Coturnix japonica: one gene and its partner. The protein of the gene in region 2 interacts with the protein of the main gene of each other region in a biochemical or structural test. Links are inferred from orthologs where the notes say so. Each region holds a gene or a part of one and is shown on either strand. Other genes may lie near its edges.

Region 1 (10,436 bases), on a different chromosome or scaffold from region 2:
CTTTGACGTAAGTGAAGTCAGTTCTGCTGCAGGAAAGCCCAGTGCTCCCATCTGAGTGCAGCTCTGCTTATCGGCAGCTCCCTGGCTTCCTGCTGGAGCCCAGCAGGAGGGAAAAGAGATCCAAATAAGGAGAGAAGGAGCAAAAAGTCACCGGGCTGTGGGAGAGGCAATCAAGGGTCTGTCAGAGGCAGGAAATGGAAAGTGTGAAGTCACAGCAGGGCTCCAACCCCCCCTCTGAATTTCCTAGAAAGCTTCCTGCCCTTATCGCAGGGTATACAGAGGGGTCCAGGCAGTCCCGGAGATGGGTGACGTTTCCCATCAAGACTAATAAGGGAAGAATTCCTCTGCTGCTGCCCTCCCCTCGGTGGGGCTCTTCCATTTCCCTCCCACAGAACGGAGCTTTCTCCATTTGGAGCCCCGAGAGGGGAGAGAAGCAGATCTACTCCCCCCATCACCACAGCTCCACAGCCCAGGTTATTTGCTTCCCCTGGATCCAGGTGGGCTGAACCCAGGAATTGATTTGTGTGCTTTATGCAAACAAGAGGAAAAGTGCAAAAAAAGCACCAGGAGGCCCTCCCCATCAGCAGTGGCCTTTGTCTGCTTTTTTCTCCTCCCTCAGCACAAGCAATAGCCAGAAAATACATCAGCAGGCGTGTTCCTCCCTGGTGGCCTCCCACTCCTCCCTACGCAGCACGCTGTGGTGCACAGGACACGTTGTCCATCCACATGAACTCCCTGCATCCCTCCAGCTCACCCCCATAGGCTCTCACTGCAGAGCACAGAACCCTTGAGGCCATTGAACCTCCAGAGATATCCCCATGGCCACCAAGAGCTTTCCCAGGTGATATGGGCTCAGAAAAGAACTCATCAGTCATTACACACATTCCTGTCCCAGGCAGGGAAAGAACTAGAGAGATGGGCAGAAAGGTTTTTAACTATGATTCTGGACTCTTTGGTGATACCCTGAGATTCTGGTGTGCTCCAGAAGGGCACACATCCCTCCCAGGATCAGCAGTATAATTCCTACTAAGAGATACCCATGCAGAAGCTGTTTCACCCCAGAACCACCATCCTTCTCCATTTCCTAAAGGCTGTTGACGTGGAGATGGAGTGACTCAGAGGCAGACCAGACCCACTAGCACAGCAGCACCAGTAAGGGCTCCCCATGAAGGAGATGCTGCAGGGCAGGGGGTCCCACCTCCATCACAAACCACCCCACAGCTCCTTGCAGATGCTCCTCAACTCACATCCCCTCTGGGCAGCTGGATCAGTGACTTCCATAGGTCCCTTCCAACCCCTTACCCACTCTGTCATTCTCTGACCAGGGTTTCAATCTCCCACCTGCACAAGCTCTCTCTGGGACTGGGTATCTAATGGGTTCACCCCAATCTCCACCTCTAAACCCCAAAAGAGGGAACAGGGCCAGGCAGGGTGCTGTCAGAACCAGCCCCATCCCACCCCATCACCACTGCAACACAATGCACGTCTCCAGGGCATCTCCATTTTCATCTCGTAAGCAACCACATACAGGGAGGGATTCTCTGCAGGGGAGCTGGTGGGAGGACCCAAGGCATAGACATCTCTGCAGATCAAGCTAAAAGCTTCCACAGCTTCTCCAAACCAAGCCCTGGCCCAGCACTGCCTCCCCCTTCTCTCTAAGGGGAATGGAGCAGTTGATATTTAGGGTAGGTGAGACCCTGGAAAATCTGCCATGATACTCTCTAAAGCTATCTCAGAGCTTTAAGATTCAGCTGGCTTTTCCCCTAAGGGAAAGTAATTGGGTGGGCACATCCATTAGCTGGTAAGGGTGGTCAGGGCTCCAGAAAAATAAAGTCAGCTGTTCTCTACTGAGCTCACAAGAAACAGCAACAAAATTCCCCTCTTGCCCAAAGCCTAGAGCAGGAGTAACTGTTAACCCTGGGTGGGAAAGGAAAGAGTGCAAGAAGGGGCACTCTGCCTTTAAAAAAAGGGAGGGGGGATCAGAGACCTCACCCACCCCGGGGATATTAAACAAACCCTCAGCAAAAAGCCCTAAATTTGCTAAATTAAGACAATGCTCTCCAGATGTTGGAGGCAGAGCTGTGAGTAGTTTGCACAGCCCGGCTGCTTGCAGTGGGACGCTCTTCCACTGCTTGTTACGTCCGTCCACGAGCACAACCCCAAACAGTGCCTGAAATATTGCCTTTTTTGGAAACCTTTGCTGATGTCGGGGGGGTAAGAGCACAACAAAAAGCTAAAACCATAACAGCCCCAACTGCAGTGTTAACACACCAGTAGCCCAGGCTGGGGAGGAGCAGACAGAGGATTGAGTCCTTATCATGGCATAAATTGAGCCACTCCTTGCAGGAGATAAATGGGGCTCATCCACATGAGCATCTCTATGCACCCTGCAATGGGAAGATGCTGGGAGACACAATGGGATCTGCTGGGACCTACAGGTGGGCAGCAATTGGGGATCATCCCACAGATCAGGTCAATACTCCTGGTCTTCTCCCCATCCCCATTTGTGGATGAATTCCACATTTGCAGAAGCAGGAGACAAAGACAAGACCTTTCTTTGTGCTTTCTTGCAACACACAAGGAGTGCATTGTTACAGCAGTGCCTCACTGAGCCCTGCAGCCATAAGTCCCCTTTATCTGCAGCTCACCAGATGCATCATTGTTGGGAACTTCCTCTCTTACACCCCTGATAGACCAACCCTAAGGGCAGCATTTTTGGAGAGCATAGTGGCACATCTTCCCACATCTCACCCACACCCAGATAATGGATTTCAGAGCCATAGCTCAGCCCTCACGTCCCCTTTAACTCCATAACCTAAAACAGGATCCTCATCTTCCCATCCCCCATTTTCCCATGGTTAAAAGGCATTTAAACCCAAACACAAGTTCTAATCAGTGTTATTTTTCCTTCTCTTAAATCCCCTCTCCAGCCTTTCCATGAATCAGATTCCTTTTAGTCAGAGCTTCACAAGGAGCTTTCAAGAAGCCAACAAAAAGGGAACCAACTTTCCAAGCACACAGTATGAGACAAAATGAGTTGTCAATGGACGAAAGCAGCACTTCCCAGAGCTCCTACCCAGACAAGGGGTAGATTTTGAGAGCAAAGCAGGAACCCAGACCAAACCCCATGGTGCACACTGCTATAGCCACTACCAGATGCCACTGAGGGGTGTATTTAGACACAGTGGGAACAGACGGAATTGGATGTAGCTGCAACACACCATCCCACAGCCCAAAGCCCATCTCAAGTTCAGCCCAGCACTCACCTCTGCAGAGCACCATGCACAGAGTGGGCTGACAGCCAGGCACTGCTTGCAGGAGGTCACCCCTCGGGTAGTGCAGATGTTACTCCCTTGGAACAACAAAACAGAGAGCTGTCATTACCTGCTGACCACCACCACCACACAGCCCTATGAACTCAGACAGCAAGCAAAGCCCAATCCCACATACATAACCTCACCCCTTTCCCAGCTCCAAATCCAGTGCTTCCCTCCCTGTTCATTTAATAGCCACCTCCCCCACAGCCCAGCACCAGCTGGGCTCCATCCTGCTGACATCTCCCACCTGCCAACCCATTGCCAGCCCCTTACTGTGTCCCTAACCCTGCAGCCCTGGGAGACATCATCCCTGGTGCCTCTCTGTGGGTATTTTGGGGCTGTGGTGAGCTCTGGGTGTAACAAACTGTCCCACCTGCTCCAGCTGGGGGAAAGAAAAGAAAGAGAAGTGGCTTCTGACCAAAATGAAGCTGACAGCTGCTTGTGATACCGCTCTGGGTAAATCTGTTGTTCCACCAGTGGGATTGGCAGTGAGGATGTCAGGAGACGCACACCTCAATTGGAAGATATCATGTCCACTCATGGGGCAGGAAGGGCAGAGCTGGGAACTGTATGGCTCTCTGGTTCCAACAGCTGATGCAATGAGGGGATGGGGACATGGCCACGACATCATCACCCTCAGCTCTTCCTCCCTCTTGAGGTACAGTGGTCCCCAGCATCCATGGGGCAGCTGGGCCCTATGGGTGCTGTGTGCCCCCACTGCAGCCCTGAGATCTCCCAGTACCAGTGTGAAGTTGCTGTGATCCCCCTATGTTCCCTCATTCCCTACTCAAGGCCCTCCCTTTGCAGCTGCAATGTTTTCTGCAAAAATGGGAGGAAATACATTGTGAAACACAAAGAGGAAACAGCAGAACGGTGAGGTCTGGGCTTTGGGCACAGCCACAGCTACAGTTATTGGTGTGTCTGTGCCCTCTGGCATGAAGGGTGTTGTGCAGTGTGGATGCATGTTCCTGCATGAACATGGTGGTACAAGGAGCTGAGCATGGGGCCAATGCTGGGACACAGAGAATGACACCATGCTTAGACACATGGCCCTGCAGCATCTCGTGTTTGCTCAGTTTTGGGGTTGTACCCACACCCAGAGCTCTCAGCATACACCAAAATCCCCAGCTGTAGCTTATCACAGTGAGAAAGCCTCTGTGGGAGCCCAAAGTTGGGAGCAGCTTCTGAACTGCAAGATGCAGGGGAGCCCTGTGCCTCACTAACATCCCAGAGCAGCACTGTGTCCCCTTGGTTGGGGTGGAACAAAGGTGCCCAGGACCCCCCCTCTGTGCTGGGGACCCCATTTTCTGCCTGATTTTGGTACCCAGGACTATAAATCAGGTGGTTTGCCCCATCGTCCCATGACCAGGGCATGTGTCTGAGGATGTGGGGCTTTACTGAGCCATCCTTGGTGTGCTCAACACAGCTGAACACAGCTCTGACCCACTGGGAGGAGCCCAAATCCCCCAGGTGCCAGCAGTGCTTAATGCAGAGCTGTTATCACTATGTGAACATGAAGGGGATTGTCCCCAGCCTCACCTCCTACCTTGGGAAATACCCCTATTTTGTCATCTACAGCTTTGTTTGCATGGCTGGACACAGCAGGATGCATCAAGGAGCAAAGATGCTGTGGTTGCAAAACCAAGTCTGGAGGAGAGCAGGGGATACTGAAGGCTGAGCACACCCTGCTCACAGCCCTCTGAGTTCTGCCTGGCCATGAGCAGGTTAACAAGATTCCAGCACAGCCTAAACTAATAAACTCTGTGTATCTGATTTATTTTCTTTTCCCCACTAATTTTTAGGTCTTGGTTTTTCTTTTCCAGTCATAAAAGCGAACCAACCAAAGCGCAAAAGCTGCCTTTATTTGTTTTCATTACTATGAAAACAGCTGCCCTCCTATAACGAGCTGCTCCTGAAGACTCGGGTCTTCAAATAAGAAAAGAAATCCCAATGCATGGAACGTGGGGTGCTGACATGAGCAGCACAGGAAGCACCGTCAGGGCCAAGAAGTGTTCAGACAGCGCACTGCAAATGATGCACTTGGAATGCCCCAACCGACGTCTGTGGCTGAGCATCCCCCTTCCCTGGCTGGGAGAAATTACTCAGACCTCAGCCTACACCCCGTGTGCTGTGTGAGCCAGCTTTTCCCCTTGCTAATATGCAGAGTTCTTGATAAGGATGCTTTAGAAATACTTGGTATGGATACAAGTTGTTTTGACATCATCTCTGGGTTTTCTGCTTGACTAAGCAATAGGGAGCTGGGCTTTTTTTGGCTGCTCCTGCTCATAGCTCCATCCGGGGCTATGTCATTTCTTGGAATATTTCCTCATTTACCAGCATCTTCCTGCAGAGGAGATGTCCCAGGATGGTTATGGGACCGGATAAACGCACAGCCCCAAAAGTGCAACCCTACAAACTCAGACTCTCCTAGGGGTGAGCGCATCCATACAGCTGGCTCAGCACATCGCAGCCTCGGGCTGTTCCTGGGAACCCAGCGAATCCAGCATTCTTTAACCAAAATAACATTGACCCAAATCCCCTCGGGTCGGGTCTCCAAAACAATGAGGTTGATTTACAGACCGGGAGCTGAACAACACCCTTTTGTGGCTGCGGGATTTGCTTTCTGATTTGAGCTCAGGAAAGCACCTGGGGAGGACATTCCCTTCCCTGGGCTGCTCCTCCACAAGGCACGTAAAGTTCTGAACAACGCAAACTGCGTTTGTTCCGGTGCCAGAAATCAGGGCTTTGAAAGACCAGCACCAAAAGAACAGGAGAAAAATGGATTTGATGAATGCTGACCCCCTAAAATGAGGTGGATACAGCAACTGCTGACCCTGCGCTCTGCCCTTACCGCCTGCTTACAGAGCCCACCCCAGTGCTCCCACTACAAACCAGCACCACAGCCAAGCACTGCACAGGGAGAAAGGGCTGAGTTCACACTGCCCAAAGTGAGAAGAGAGCGGGGAACCCCGAAAATAGGGTAAATTCAGCAATGGGGATCTGTGCTGAGGTCACCTTCTGCCTGCCACCCCTCTGAGCGACTTTCCCGACAGCGTGGGAATGAAGAGAATCCCAGGGTTTAGGGATGACAGCACGCAACCCAAGCACTGCATGCAATGTCAGGGCAAACCCAGCATTCCAGCCCCACACCTACCCCAGCTGCCAGCAGCGCAGAGCACCAAGATGCTGAAAACGACTCGGAGTTCATCCATCTCCTCCTCCGAACCCCGGCTATAGGGGTGTGGGACGGCCCCGCCGTGTGATTTTGAGATGGTTTAGAGCCGTCCAAGGGATGAATCATGCGCTGGGTGTGTGTGACACACATACACACCGAGCTGGGCGGCCGGAGGAAGCTACGTTGCTTCGTCACTCGAACTGCAGTCGGGCAGTGCCTCCTCCCGTCCTGCCCCCGGAGATCCCTGTGCTTATTCCTTCTCTCGACTCTAAAAAGGTCTTAATGAACCTGGGCACAAAGTGCAGGACCGGCTGTAGCAGGCTCTTCTACCGGGTTTAATTGCTTGCAAAACCTCGCTCACTCCCTCCCTTCATTAACCCTTTCGGCCGCGTGGGTTTTAAACTTGCTGAGGCTGAGCTGCTTCAGAGCGTGAGGATTTAAGGGGAAACAGAGCACATGCGTATTGCAATGAAAGTGTGGGTTCTCTGCAGTCTTTCAGGTGGGAGAATCCCTGCTGGAACAGCCCCGGAGCTGTGCAGAGGGATGGGTACAAACCCGACATCACGGAGGGAGGGAAATTCAGACTGGGATACGTGATTTGGAGCTGATTCTCTGCTGGCTGTGCTGGTTTTCTCCCACAGTCAGCAGGCACAGATCCTTACAGAGCCCTCCCCCGCTGCTTGCGTGGGGCTCATTGCATCTGTCCGTACCCTCAGATGGAGACAACACGGGAACCGAGGCTTTCCCGGCTCCAATAGCGGCACTTTCTTGGCCTGAAAATTCGCCCCGTTGTCGCTTTTTCCCCCTCATCCCACCCTCCCTGCAGAGCTGCTGCCCTCCGGCGGCCGTCGGGACTCTGCTCTAAGGGGACATTCTCCTTCTGGGATCTTCCCTTTGCCTCGCTGACGTGGATTTGCTAAGGAGGGACCCAGAGAAACCCGTCGGTCCTCATGTAGTGTTGATAAAGTGCTGCTTTTCAATTGAAGCTGGGTTGCTTACAGCTCCATCCAGCCTGGTCTCGAACACCTCCAGGGAGGGGTATCCACTACCTCACTGTTCTAGTGTCTCACAGCTGTCACAGCAGAGAATTTCCTCCTAATATCTAGCCTAAATCTTCCCTCTTCCAGTTTAAAACCACTTCCCCTTGTCCTGTTGCTAGCTTCCCTTCTAAAAGGTCCCAACCCAGCTTTCCTGTTGGCTCCCTTCAAGTAGTGGAAAGGCTATAAAGTCTCCCTGGAGCTTTCTGTTCTCCAGGCTGAAGAGCCCCAGCTCTCAGCCTGTCCTCATGAAGGATGTGCTCCAGCCCTCTGATCATCTTTGTGGCCCTCCCCTGGACCCTATTCAGTAACTCCATCTTGTGGAATAACTGTGTTATGAGGTCCAGAACTGGATGAAATACTACAGATATGGTCTCATGAGGGCAGAGCAGGGGGGCAGAATCACCACCCTCACCCTGCTGGTCACACTGCGATCCACAGTTGGTCTTCTGGGCTGTAAGCACACATTGTCAGCTCATACTGAGTCTTTCATTAACCAACACCCCCCAGATCCTTCTCCTTGGGGCTGCTCTCAAGCCATTCTTTGCCCAACCTGCATCTGTGCTTCAATGGGCCGAGCTGTCAGTCCCACAGGTCCTCTTAGGGTCATAGAATTGTAAAGGTTGGGAAGGACCTCTCAGATCCCCAAACCCAACCCACCCCCACTGTGCCCATTGACTGTGTCCCTCAGTGCCACATCCCCATGGTTCTTGGGGTCCTGTCCTGGGTGCCTGGCCTAGCAAATGGACACAGCCCTGTGTGCAAGCAGAGTGGGATACTCCAGCTCATGCTTCCAAAGCCTTTTAAAAAGAAGGAAAAAGGATAAAAAAAATAAATAAATATGTATTTGAGTCCTTGAACCCTTTCCTGGCTGCTGCTTGTCCTGTAAGAACTGCTGTGATGGGGATGTGGGGCACACGAGGGTGGGAGGCACTGGGTAGAGCATGGGCTCTCATTGCTGCTCTTTGGGAGTTGGAGAGCTGGACAAAAACTGAGCTGGGGGGAATCAATCGTGGGATGCTCTGCATTGTGAAGCCCTTCTTTGAATTAAGGTGAAGAGCAGCCAAGAGCTGAGTGTTCCCATGTCCCTGTGTCCCCAGGGGATGGCTGTGATCCCTGTGTGATGCTGCAGTGCCCTGTTCCGGCATACAGAACAGGTTGGAGCTGGAACTGGAGCCAGCAGAGGGAGCAGAAACTCCTCCAGCCCGGAGGCAGCGGGGAAAGGAGCTGCCACTGGGATGCTCTGCTCTCCCAGGGGGATCTTTCCTGGCCCTGGGGTTAAATGCAGGGGGTTCCGTCCCCTTGTCCCATCCAGGCTTCCAGCTTCATTCCTTCTGCTGCAAAATAACCTTATGGAGTGTGGGGGAGCAATGCTACCAGGAGGAAAAAGCAACAAGTAAAAGTCAAAGCAAGCTGCTTTGGGCCCCTAAAAGCCACAAAAGCAAAATATAGAGACTCAGCTCTCATCTGTTTAATAGAGAAATCACTGATGTGTTCCTACCAAGCCACCCTCCACCCCCATCCGACTGGCCTCCTGCTCACGTCTTTAGCTGCAATTTATCAATTCTCATTTGGGTTTATTAAAATCCCCTCTGGGGGCTGTGCAAGCAAAGCGAGCTGAGACGTACACAGATCAATCAGAGCACAGTCTCCATGTCATGGCCATCTCTTGTCCTGCACCACCCGAACACATCTGCACCCACTCACGGTGCATGGACCACAGCTGCTGCTGCTGTAGGACCCTGAGCTGGGAATGGGGGTGGGATGCAGAGATCGGGGTGCAGCATCACTGTGCTTCCTTCTGATGGGGATAAAGGAGCATGAGAAGGGGAAATGGAGGTGCCTGGGTGTAAACATCCCCCAGCCAGAGGATGATGATCCAGTTGTCAGTGTAGGACAGAAGAACAGAGCAGAGCTGGGGGTGGACGGGGCTGGATTGGGCCAGCGCTGCTCTAAGGAAGGAGTGGGTGGCACAGAGCAGCAAGCAGGGATCGGTGAGAGCAGCACAGACCTGAAGCTCACAGGAGGGTGTGTGGGGGGGAACAGGGGAGCTGCTGGTGACCCAGGCCCAACACCGACATGGTGGGCTGCTCTGGGAAGCAGGTGGAGGGCTGGGGGAGAGGATGCAGTATGGCAGGACCTCAGGGGTTAGCACACAGCCAGGGGGTAGCACAGGTGTGGGTTTGGGCCCCCATAGCAGGATGAGGGGATGCAGCAGCATGGGGAAGGGGTGGGCAGCCTGGGTGAGCTTGGAGGGGGGAGGAAGGCGGTCCTGGGGGGAGGCTGCAAGGGGGTGGAGTTGCTGGTTTTTCTTTGAACACGGGGAAGACTTGAGCTGGGAACTTGCATCCGTGGAGCTCCCAGCCGGCAGGCATCAGCCCCCGGCTCCTGCTGGGAGTCCCCATTGCTTCGGGGTGGCAGCATGGCAGGGAGCATGCAACCGCCTCCTACTGCCTTCCTCTGCCCCGTGCTCCCTTCTCCTTCCCTCTCCGTGCTCGGGTGACTGTGCTGAGTTGCTGGTGGCAGCTGGCAGCCCGCCGCCCCTCTCTGCACACCTTTCCTTCCCTTCCAGCCCAGGCATCAGGAGCAGACAGGCAGGAGGTGGCACGGAGCCTGCGGGATGTGAGACCAGCTGGGGGACCGCCAGCTCCATCCTGCCTTCCTCCGACGGTTGGGACCCCACGTAGACCATGAATGGATCCTTCTTCAACCAGAGCCTCCTGGAGCAAGGAGCATACCCCAACAGGACCCGGGGTTTGGGGTTGCTCCTGGCCTGCTGCAATGGGACCAGCTCGGTGCTGGCACCCGATGGCAGCTCCTCGGTGCTGGTGCCCGATGAGCGTAGCCTGTACATCACACGCGTGGTGCAGATCGCCGTCCTCTGCGTCCTCTCCTTGACTGTGGTGT
Region 2 (9,850 bases):
AGTTCATTTCCACTCTGTATATATGCTGCCTTTAAGTACTGGAAAGCCAAAGGCTGGATGATGAGAGACCAAAGCCTTCTGCTGTCCTACCTGCAGTAAGGTTGACCACTGAGGCTGTGCCAGCAGTGATAGCATCCACCTGGGAGTGGATCTCATGCTTGGACTCATCCATCTTGTTTTTACGCCAGGCTTTGGAAGCCTGAAATGAGGAAAAGAGAGTCAAGAGGTGAAAGTAGTGGGGAGCTGCAGTGAGATGTGAGAGAGGAGACAAGAAGAAATGAAGGAAGAGCTGCCACCACCCAAAACTCATCAGCAAGTCCAAAAGCTACAAACACAGAAGATGCCTCAAGACAGAGTGTCCCAAATTCATTCTGCAGGCAGCAATCTTCCTGTGAACTGCTGACACTTCTCCTTGCCTCACCCACCCCACCAGCAAACTACTACCCCCAGCAGCCTGGCACCCCTTCCCCAGGCACTCACAGCATCCTGCCCGAGGGGCGGCAAGGTCTCGAAGTCATCCAGCGTGGCCTGGGCTGCGTTCACAGCTTGCATGCTAGAGTTGATGGTACCTGTTAGCGCCTGTTGTGCTGAAGTCTGCAAGGCAACAACACAGTGAAGAGGCTGCTTGGGACAGTGCTTTAGGCAGGTGCTGATTGCAGAGCCCCTGCTCCCCATGGCAAGCTGATGCCAGGCCAGAAGGATGGGTCTGCATGAATCCCCTGGACAACCTGGAATCACCTACCAGAGGAGGCATGTGCCCTCGGTGCATCTGGCCACTGGTGATTTGTAGCTGGGCCTGGGGCATCGTCCCCACCTGGAAGTTCTCTGGGCCCCCAGCCCCTGTGCGCATGATGGCTGGCAGTGCAACCGAGCCCAGCTCTGCTTTGCCCACATGATTAAACTGCTGCTGCAGGACAGTTGACCTGGAAAAAAGAGAAGCAGCAGCAGTGAGTACCTCCTCCCTGGACCAGCACTTTGGCTGCTCCCCACAGTGCTGCCCTGAAAGCTGAAGGATGCCACTTGGCAGCCACCTTGCTCCTGACAGACTTACTTCTTTGGAGACACCGAGTCTTCCAGCATGGTGGACTCCTCATCTCCCTCCAGGCCAAAGTGGTCTTTGCTCTTTTTCTGTTGAGGCAAAGAGAAAAAGCATTGGTCAGTGCACACCTCACAGTCCCTGCTGCTGCCCAGGCTGGAGAACTGCCAAATCCATGGGAAGTCCCCATCTGTCCCCAGCAGCACCATGAGCACAAGAAGCACCTTGTACTTCTCCCAGAAGAAGAGCAAACTGCTTTTCCCTGAACTTGCCTTTTTCAGGATGATGTCAATGTAGCCAGCAATCAGCTGGGCGATCTGCTCCCCCTCTGTTGTCTGTACCGAGTAGTAGCCATCCTGGTAATCTCCAAAATCCTACAAGGGCACAGCACTGGGTTGCACCAGAGCAGGATGCTGGCGCACATCCTGAGCCCCTCTGGTATGTGCTAAGCACTGTGGCCAGTGCTGTGCCAGCCACTTTCTGCCTGTTCTTGGGGTCAGGAGAGGAAGGGAGCAGGGCACAGAGGGCTGAGAGCTGGGGCAGGCTCCTACCAAGGTGAAGCTCTTGGGGGAGGCTGCCCAGCGCTTGATGTTGGTCAGGCTCCACTCCTGGATCACTTCCTTGGTTTTCTCATCCACACGCATCACACACTCCTTAGTGATCCCCAGCAGACGTGGCACCAGCTTGTTCTTCCCCTTCATCTTCTCCTGCAGGACATGACAAAGGGGTTAGGGGGCTCACCCAAGAGCTGTGTGTGCAGCAAGCAACCCTAGGGCCACAACTCCAGATATGGTAATCACCACATGTGTCTTGAAAAGGTCATGGGGGAAAAGCAGGAACTGAGTGGGAGGGCAGTGCAGATAAAAAGCCACAAAGTCCTTAAGTTGGCAGTAGGTTGCACCAGGGGAAGTTCGGGTTGGATATTAAGAAAAGCTGCTTCTCAGAAACAGTGCTAAGGCACTGGCACAGGCTACCCAGGGAGGTGGTGAAGTCACCTCCACTGGGGGTGTCCAAGAACCAAGGAGATGTGGCACTGAAGGATGTTGTTAGTGGGCATGGTGGGGATGGGTTGGTGGCTGGATTAGATGACCTTAATGATCTTCCCCAACCTCAAAGATTCTATGATTTAAAGAAGGGTAGGCAGATAGCAGGAATACAGGGAGAGCTAGAGCAATGCGGACTGACAGGTAAGTGGTGGGTGGAGATGCAAAAGATGAAGAGATGCTGAAAAGGAAGACTCGGCCAGGCAGCAGGAAAGGCGGGGCTGAAGAGCTTTTGCTCTACCTTGACTAGGAAGAAGGAGACCCCATAGGTCTTGAGGGAGCGGGCCAGCTTCACGTAGCGAACTTTGGCCTCGATCTCACTCATGTTCCCGCAGTTCTTGTGGGCCTGTAATCACCAGAGGACATCAGGTCAGCTACTGTGTTGCCTTCACAGCTTCTCCAGGCTCTCCCCCTGCCCTACCAGCATTCCATTTCCCACCCACACTATCCCTCTGAGCCCCTGGAACCTCAGCGCTGTCACATCTGCCCAACTACAGGCAGACAGTCCTCTTCCTCACCTGCCAGGCTGTGATGTGCTGCAACAAAAGCAGCCCAGACCTCTGGAAAGGAACTGTGACAAGCCTGATCTCAGCACAGCCTCGCACTTACCATAAAGATCTTGCGTTCCCCTTTCTGCTTGATGTATTCCTTGGGCAGGAAGTCTTTCAGCCTGCCAAGAGATAGCAAAATCAGCTCCCAAAGCACAGCCCAAAGCCAGCATTTGTGTTCCCCTATGAAGACGCTTAGCACAGAGCCTTGGACAAAACCCCACCGGTGCAGAGTGTTTTTGGGAACAGGAAGGATGTGGGAGAGGTCACCACAACTAATGACAACTCCAGGACCCAAAACCTTGGAGCCACCCTCTGGGATGATGATACCCTGGAGGACAGAACTTGGCACATGTGCAGAGGGACACCCTGGGACACTCACTCCAGAAAGCCCGGCTTGTGCTTCTGCTCGTTGTGCGGCCCGAACTGGATCTGGCACTGGTAGCCAGCAAACTCACACGCTTTGTCAAATGAGACAGGGTGAGAACCGTTAAGGATGTCATCACGTGCCTAAAAGGGGAGAGAAAACACTGGGGTCTGCCTTGTTCCCTTCCACATCTGGTGGGATCTGTGCCGGCATAGAGGAGCTAGCCAGACACCTGAAATGCCCCTGTGGCTGCTCCTGACCAAACACCAGATGGGTTGTCACAGGGCAGCAGTGCTGTACCTGCACGTAGAGCAGGTTGAGCTGTACAGGATCTCGTGAGTCCACGTTCTGGTCAGAGTAGAAGAACTTTCTTCTCAGCAGTAGCGTCTCGTTATCATCGATGCCTTGCTCACGCAGGGTCCGGCCGTGGTCCAGCCAGTTCACTGCAGGTGATGGCAAAGTGTGAGCAGGGATAGACGGCCAGGCAGGGACAGACAGACAGAGACATACAGACAAACAGGTGGCCTTGCTGCCACTCCCACCACCCCCAGCATGGGATGGTTCTGTCCCCAGAGCTTGCCCACACATACACTCGTCATCGGTGTGCAACTTCTGCTTGAGTTTCTCCATCTTCTTCTCATCCCGCAGCAGGGTCTTATCCTTTTTGAGGGTGCCCGTGACCTCCTCCTTCTTCTCCTCCATGATTTCTCGAACCAGTGAGTACTCGTCATAGTTGGTGATGCCTGCAAGAGCACACAACACTGACCCAGTGCTGCTCCCCTGACACCCCATGTTCCTCTCTGCCCCACGATGCCACCCCTCCTCTCACCAATTCGAGCACATATTGTCATCAGCATGTCTGTAACGGTTTTGGAGTCGTCGACCATAACCGTTTTCACAGTTCCATCCAGCATGCGGATCTTCAAGGGCCGCTGCTTCTTCTTATACTCCATAGTATCCTGCAGGTACAACCAGCATAACTCCAGCAGCCATACAGGCCACAGCGCACCACATCCCCCTGGCTCCCAACTCCCCAGTGGGACCACGGGGCACATACAGTGCTGGCTGGATGCTTACCCCATTACGAAGCATGTAGTAGTCCAGTGCCTTCCCAGCCTCCAGCCAGATCCCCTTCTTTGGGTCTTCATCAGAGAGGAACAGCCCAAAATCATTGGCTGGAAAACACAGAGATTCTGTCTGGTTTGGATCGGGCCACTGGGATGTGCACAGGACAGCAGCACCCCTGAACGCTGCTGGAATTGATTGCAGTGGCCACGAGACCAGGGAAAGCCTGAGTGGGCAAAAAGCTGGCAAACAAACTGCAGAGTGGGTGTTTTACATCTGTTTGTCTGCATGAGAACTCATCTAAAGCATGCCCACACAGTGCTAACTGGGAAGTGGCAGTCACAGCTGACAGATGAGCTCAGAGTGGTGGCTGACAGCTCTCTAAAATGCTTGATGCAAAATATAACAACCAAAAGATGATGATAAAGTGCTGAGCATGGCCAGGAAGGGTGCAGGGAACAAGGCAGAGTTTGCAAACACAACAAGAGAACAGCAGAAGTGATGGACCAGGAAGGGCAGCTGCTTGCTGTGAGGGACTGAAGAAGGATTTGATGGAGGTTTAGAAGGTAAATTTGTGGAGAACTCTGATGTTCTGCAATCCTGCCCACTAGGGTGGGTCTGCTGCTGCCCAGGGACAGCCCTGGCACTGCTGCTACGAGAAGTGCTGCCCTGGGAAAAGCCCTCCTGCTCCCTGCCAGCAGCCTCTGGTTGTGTAAGCAGGCAGGGAGGGGGAAATTCCTGAGCTGCCCCATGCCTGCCCAGCTCATGCTGTGCAGGGGATCCTGCTGAACAGAGCAGGGAACCAGTGAGGCTGCCCTTTGTTGGCTTTTGGAAAAGCAAGCTATTTCCAAAGCCAATTCTAAAAGGCTCATTCTAAAGCACTGAGAACCATGCAGCTCACTCAGATCCCTACACAGGAGGAGAGAGGCACTTCCTGGGGTAGGGCAAGAGCGGAGCAGGAGCTCAGCACAATGTGCACGGAGGTGGCATTCAGCCACAAAACCCAGGCAAAATGCAGGGAACTGGGCAACACCTGTCCCAACAGCTCAGGACTCCCCTGTGGGGCAGGAAAGCAGGCTCAGGGGGGTTTGCTGGGAAACACAGGCAGGGTGTGCTCAGATGGAACTGTAACAGCATCCTGGAAGAGGAGCAGGGCAGCTCCAAAAGGGACCTACAAATGTCACTGGGTAAGGGCAATAAAGAGAAACAAAAGAAAATGGTGAGCTCTGAGGCAGGGATGAGGTAAAAGCAGATAAATGGAAGAACTGCCTTGGGGATTCCCAGCATTGCAACCTCAACATAGGAAGCCACGGACTCCTTTGCAGCAGGGCTGAGTTCCAGCTGCTGCCGGCAGAGCAGAGGGCAATGGTCAGAGCTGGGGCTGAGCAGCTCCCTTTAAGGCTCTCTCCTCTCGCTTTATGAGCAGCCTGGCACAGACCCAGGGGCAGGAAATGCAATGGCTGCGGATCCGAGTAAACACCCCGTCCCCCTCTGAAACCGAAAGCCATGGTTGTGCAGAGCGAGAAGGCATTTCCTCTGCTGCGCCAGGAATCTGCTGCTCCCAGATGTCACTGCCTTCACCCCCCCCTCCTCCCGGAGCTGGGGGTGCCTGTGCTTGGGAACCACTGGGACATGGCTCAGCATCCCGAGGTGCTTTGTCACCCGCTTAATTTTGAGTCTGACGGCAGCGGGGAGATATTACAGCTGACAAAGCTCAGCACAACGGCAGCACGTCACGGCACCACTGAGAGCTGCCGGGGAGGGTATATGTTCCCCAAGAAAGGAAAAGTTAACTTATATGGTGCAGGAATACCCGCTGGGAGCACCGCAGTTGTTGGAGCCCACCGAGCCCTGGCCAGCTTTGTGCAGGCACATAGGAGAGGGAACACAGGAGGCAGGGAAAGGGCTCATAGAGATGGACACATATTTCACTTCCAGTGCATTTTTCCTGCCCCCTCTCCAAGTCCCCAAAATTCTTCCCAAGTTTCTGGGAGGAATATTTCTAAGATTCACTGCATGTTGATGGGAAGCCTAGAGCAGATCAAGGGCGGCACTTGTTGAGCTGAAGAAACTGTTGCCAGTTCTCATGTATCACTTATTTTTGAGCAAGTGACCTTACAAGGTGACAGCCTCTGTGCTCAGGTGAAATCTGCTCCTCCTGGAGCTCTTTTGTGACACTCTGTATAGCTGAGCAATTCCTTCATGTCTGGGAGCCTGAACACCTTGCTAGAACCAAGGTTACTAGAAACAGCTCTATCAGAGCAACCCCTCCAGTTGCTACAGAGAGGGACCTGCATCCCTCTGTGCGACGGAAGGACTACCACAGAAAACCTGATTAGCAGGGGGTTCAACCAGATGATACCCAGAGGTCCCTTCCAACCCCTACAATTCTGTCTGTGTACAGACCTCCAAAATGATACACAGAGCTCAGACATCTTGCAGCAAGATAACACCACTGAACTCCAGCTCAGTGCTCCAGCAAACACTCATAAAGCTTCCCAAGCTCACAATCAAACTTCTTCACCCAAAGTATGCAAGATGCCTTGAACCGAGCTCTCCCATCCATCATGTAGCACCCGGCAAACACCCTGTGGGTGCAGAAACCCAAACCTTGGGGGCACAGAGCAGGAAAGGAAGCTGTGAAGAGCTATTAGATATATATTTTAGAGATGCAAACAGCAGTGCAGCAGCAAGCCATAGAGCTCAGCCTGAAATAAAGCTGCAGGAGTGTGCTGAAATTATGGGTGCTTAAGGGCTGCCCACCCCAGGCAAGGGAGAAGAAATTAGGGCAACTCCAGGGCTGCCAGAAGAGGAAAAAAAGGGTGCAGCTGTGGAAGCAGAAACACGCTTGCAGAGGGCAGGGGATGAGCCCCACACTTACGCTGTCCCATCTGTGCCTCGGGCACGCGCTCCCGGATCATGCGGCAGGCGTCGTACACCATGGTGGAGGGCTCAAACTGCATCGTCTTCACCACATTGCCAATGCTGATCTTCAGCGAGAGGGCAACCATGGTGGCGGCCGGATTATCCCCACTCCTGTGTCACCTGCTGAGGACACGACATGTCAGATCCCACCGCCAGGCACTGGGACATGATGCTGGGTGGGCTGTGCTGATGCTCACCCCTCTGCAGGTGCCTGGAGGTGGTGGGGGAGCAGAGCTCAGAGCTCAGATCCCAACCCAGGAGCAAGTGATGGTGGTGGAGAATAGGGGTACAGACAGAAGGAATTCAGATGGAATTCCCAGCCTGGCCTCCTAATGCAGAGCCCTGGGGTTGCTGTGTCCACATCGTGCACCCAGCGTCCCTGAGTGTGTTGTGCTCGTGCAAAGCCGCGACCCACAGCACAGAGGAAATGCATGTCAAGTAGTGTGCTGAGATAAGGCAGCACTGTGCGACGGAAGGGGCTTTAATTAAAACTGTGGCAAAGAAACCACAAGAAGAAAACCTCACGTGGTGCAGGGTCTGACCCCACTATCGGGATCCTGCAGGGAGCCCTGTGGGGACCCCAGGAAGCGCACACTGTGCTGCTCGAGGAGACAGGGGCTGGGGTATCACCGAGCTTGCTGCAGTCTGCTCCAGGGGGCTCTGGAGCTTCCTCCCCACAAGATCCCGGCGGCCACAGGGCTCTGCTCGGGAGGAGCGCGGTGCCGCCTCCACCAGCGCGTGGAGCCGCTCCAGCTGCGCATTCCTGAGCCGTTCGGCAATGCAGCGCAGGAGCCCCGTCGGAGGCCCTCGGCCCCCGCCGACGAGGAATGCAACGCGAGCGGGACGGCCCCGCACGCAGCCGCCCCGCAGCTTCACGGCCAGGAGCCGTAAGAGGCCGTCGGGGATCCGAGGGGACCGACGGGCGGGGCGGCTGCGGCCGGCGGGACTGGGATCGTTCTCTTTCCTAAATCTAAAAATACCCCGGAACGGAGCGCTGAGCCCTTTCCATCCCTCCCCCCGCTTCTGCCTGCAGGGCAGGGTCAGGGAGCGGGGAGGAAGAGGAGAGCAGAGGCAAGCAAAGTGATTGAAACTGTCCCAAAGCAGGACAGCACTGCAAAGAAAACGGGATGCCGCACCCGGCCAGCAGAGCGGCTCGGCCTCACTCGTGAATTGCTGCAAAATCGGCCCAGAGCTGCAGGATGTGCTGGAGGGGAAACTGCAGAGCGACACGGGCAGCTCCAGCTCTGCGGGGCCGGCAGCAGCCACACGTGGCCACCATCCTGCACCCCAAATGGTGCTGTGCCCCCAAATAGCGCTGTGCAAGGCACTTAAGACACGTAAAAACCAGAGGCTCGTTGCTCTTTCCACGTTCTAAGGAAGTGCTTTGAGCACTACCCTCCACCAGTGTGTAAAGCAGAAGTAGTCTATTTAGAGCAGCCCTGTAACAACGTGGCGGTGGGGAAGGTCTGGCTGACTGCTGCCTCACACGGGATGGGATGCACGGGGAAGAGCTGGGTAGATTTCCACACTGGGGGTATGCATGGGGACAGAACACGGGTCCACCGCAGGGGTTGGGTGCATTTGGGCATCAGAGGGCAGCGAGAGCCCTTCTGTGGGCTCTGCGGAGGCACCAGCACGGCAGGAAGCAGATGTGGGGCTCTGTGCTGATGACAGCACCGGCACAAGGGCCACACCGTCATGGTGCCCTGAGGGCACAGACCAGACAAAGTACAAGAAGAGGACTCCCAGCCCCAGGCTGCTCCACTAGGAGGTGAAAAAAAACAACGAAAAGCCAAACGATGTGATGAATGCACACCAATTTTCAGCACTGGCCGCCCTCCAGGGAGAGCAAACAAGTCAGCAGCGCTCGCTGGTAGGCGAGGCAGATAAGCCAGCACAGCAGCAGCGGCTGCGGGCACTTCTGCATTTCTCTTCCCTTCCCCACGACGCCTCCGCCGCCATCCCCGAGGCACAGAGCGATTTTCCACCCCATGACGTCGCCGCTGTATTTATACCTCCCGGCTTCACAGCAGCGCTGCTGCAAGCACGGGTACAGAGAAAGTTTTATGTTAGCAAAAAAAAAAAAAAAAAAAAGAGAAAAGAAAGAAAACAAAGCAGAGCCCGACCAGGTTCTACCGCATGGGCTGTGCCTGCAAGGCAGCCCCACTGCACGCCCGTGGCACACATCCAGCGGCCGCAGAGCTTTCCCGAAGGAACCGAATTCACTGCCCTGAGCTCGGGGAAAGGGTCGGCAGTGTGACCGCACCAAAGGAAGTTCCCACAGCCCTTCCGCTCCTGCGGGGAGCACCCCGCACCTCGGCACAGCACAGCACTTTAAGGACTGTAACTGCTTTGTTCTGCGCTTTCTTGTGTGTGTGTGTGTTGCTGGTTGTTTTTTTTTGGGTTTTTTTTGCTTTTCCTTTTAATCATTTCAGAGAGCTCAGCGCGGTTCGGTCTCACGCTCCGACGCCTTTCCCCTCCTCCACCGAATGGCAGAAGTTAATGTTTTAACCCAGAGGCAACAGCGCCGGTCCCGCAGCACCGCGGATCCCGGGCGGGCAGCTCGGTGACTCAGCCCCACGCAGCTCGGCTGATTCACGCCGCTTCCTCCTCTCCGGCGGCCGCGGCCGGTTCGTGCCCGCCGGGGATGGGCGCCGTGCGGCATCGGGCTGACAGCGGGGACGGCGACTTGGTGCCCGGTGAACGGCTCCGGGACGGCTCCCTGCAGCACGGAGCCGCACCGCACCTTCCCCACCCGCATCCTAAAGCGACGGCGGGAACGGGGGATGCTCCGACCGTCCCACGCCCCGACCCGCCTTGCAATACAGCCCCGCAGCGCAGCGGCACCCACGCCCGCCGGCCCGCG

Evidence for each region.
Region 1: the proteins of TLN1 (region 2) and ITGB3 form a complex in vitro, tested with the Homo sapiens proteins (6 studies listed by BioGRID and IntAct, with this or other methods). The link is inferred for Coturnix japonica from reciprocal best matches to the Homo sapiens genes TLN1 and ITGB3.

What each region holds. Positions count from the first base shown.
Region 1 is NC_029542.1:1,803,110-1,813,545, reverse strand, and holds the start of ITGB3 (integrin beta-3), read right to left. Parts: upstream 6,798-10,436; 5' UTR 6,643-6,797; coding exon 6,472-6,642; intron 3,353-6,471; coding exon of another isoform or gene 3,267-3,352; intron 1-3,266. Other genes in the region: RPRML (reprimo-like protein), read left to right, coding at 10,220-10,436. UniProt on the Homo sapiens protein: Integrin alpha-V/beta-3 (ITGAV:ITGB3) is a receptor for cytotactin, fibronectin, laminin, matrix metalloproteinase-2, osteopontin, osteomodulin, prothrombin, thrombospondin, vitronectin and von Willebrand factor.
Region 2 is NC_029547.1:8,428,025-8,437,874, reverse strand, and holds part of TLN1 (talin-1), read right to left. Parts: intron 7,108-9,850; exon of another isoform or gene 7,105-7,107; 5' UTR 7,071-7,104; coding exon 6,941-7,070; intron 4,170-6,940; coding exon 4,072-4,169; intron 3,954-4,071; coding exon 3,824-3,953; intron 3,738-3,823; coding exon 3,585-3,737; intron 3,438-3,584; coding exon 3,295-3,437; intron 3,138-3,294; coding exon 3,010-3,137; intron 2,750-3,009; coding exon 2,689-2,749; intron 2,426-2,688; coding exon 2,321-2,425; intron 1,744-2,320; coding exon 1,588-1,743; intron 1,411-1,587; coding exon 1,309-1,410; intron 1,129-1,308; coding exon 1,052-1,128; intron 924-1,051; coding exon 743-923; intron 595-742; coding exon 481-594; intron 200-480; coding exon 91-199; intron 1-90. UniProt on the Homo sapiens protein: High molecular weight cytoskeletal protein concentrated at regions of cell-matrix and cell-cell contacts. Involved in connections of major cytoskeletal structures to the plasma membrane.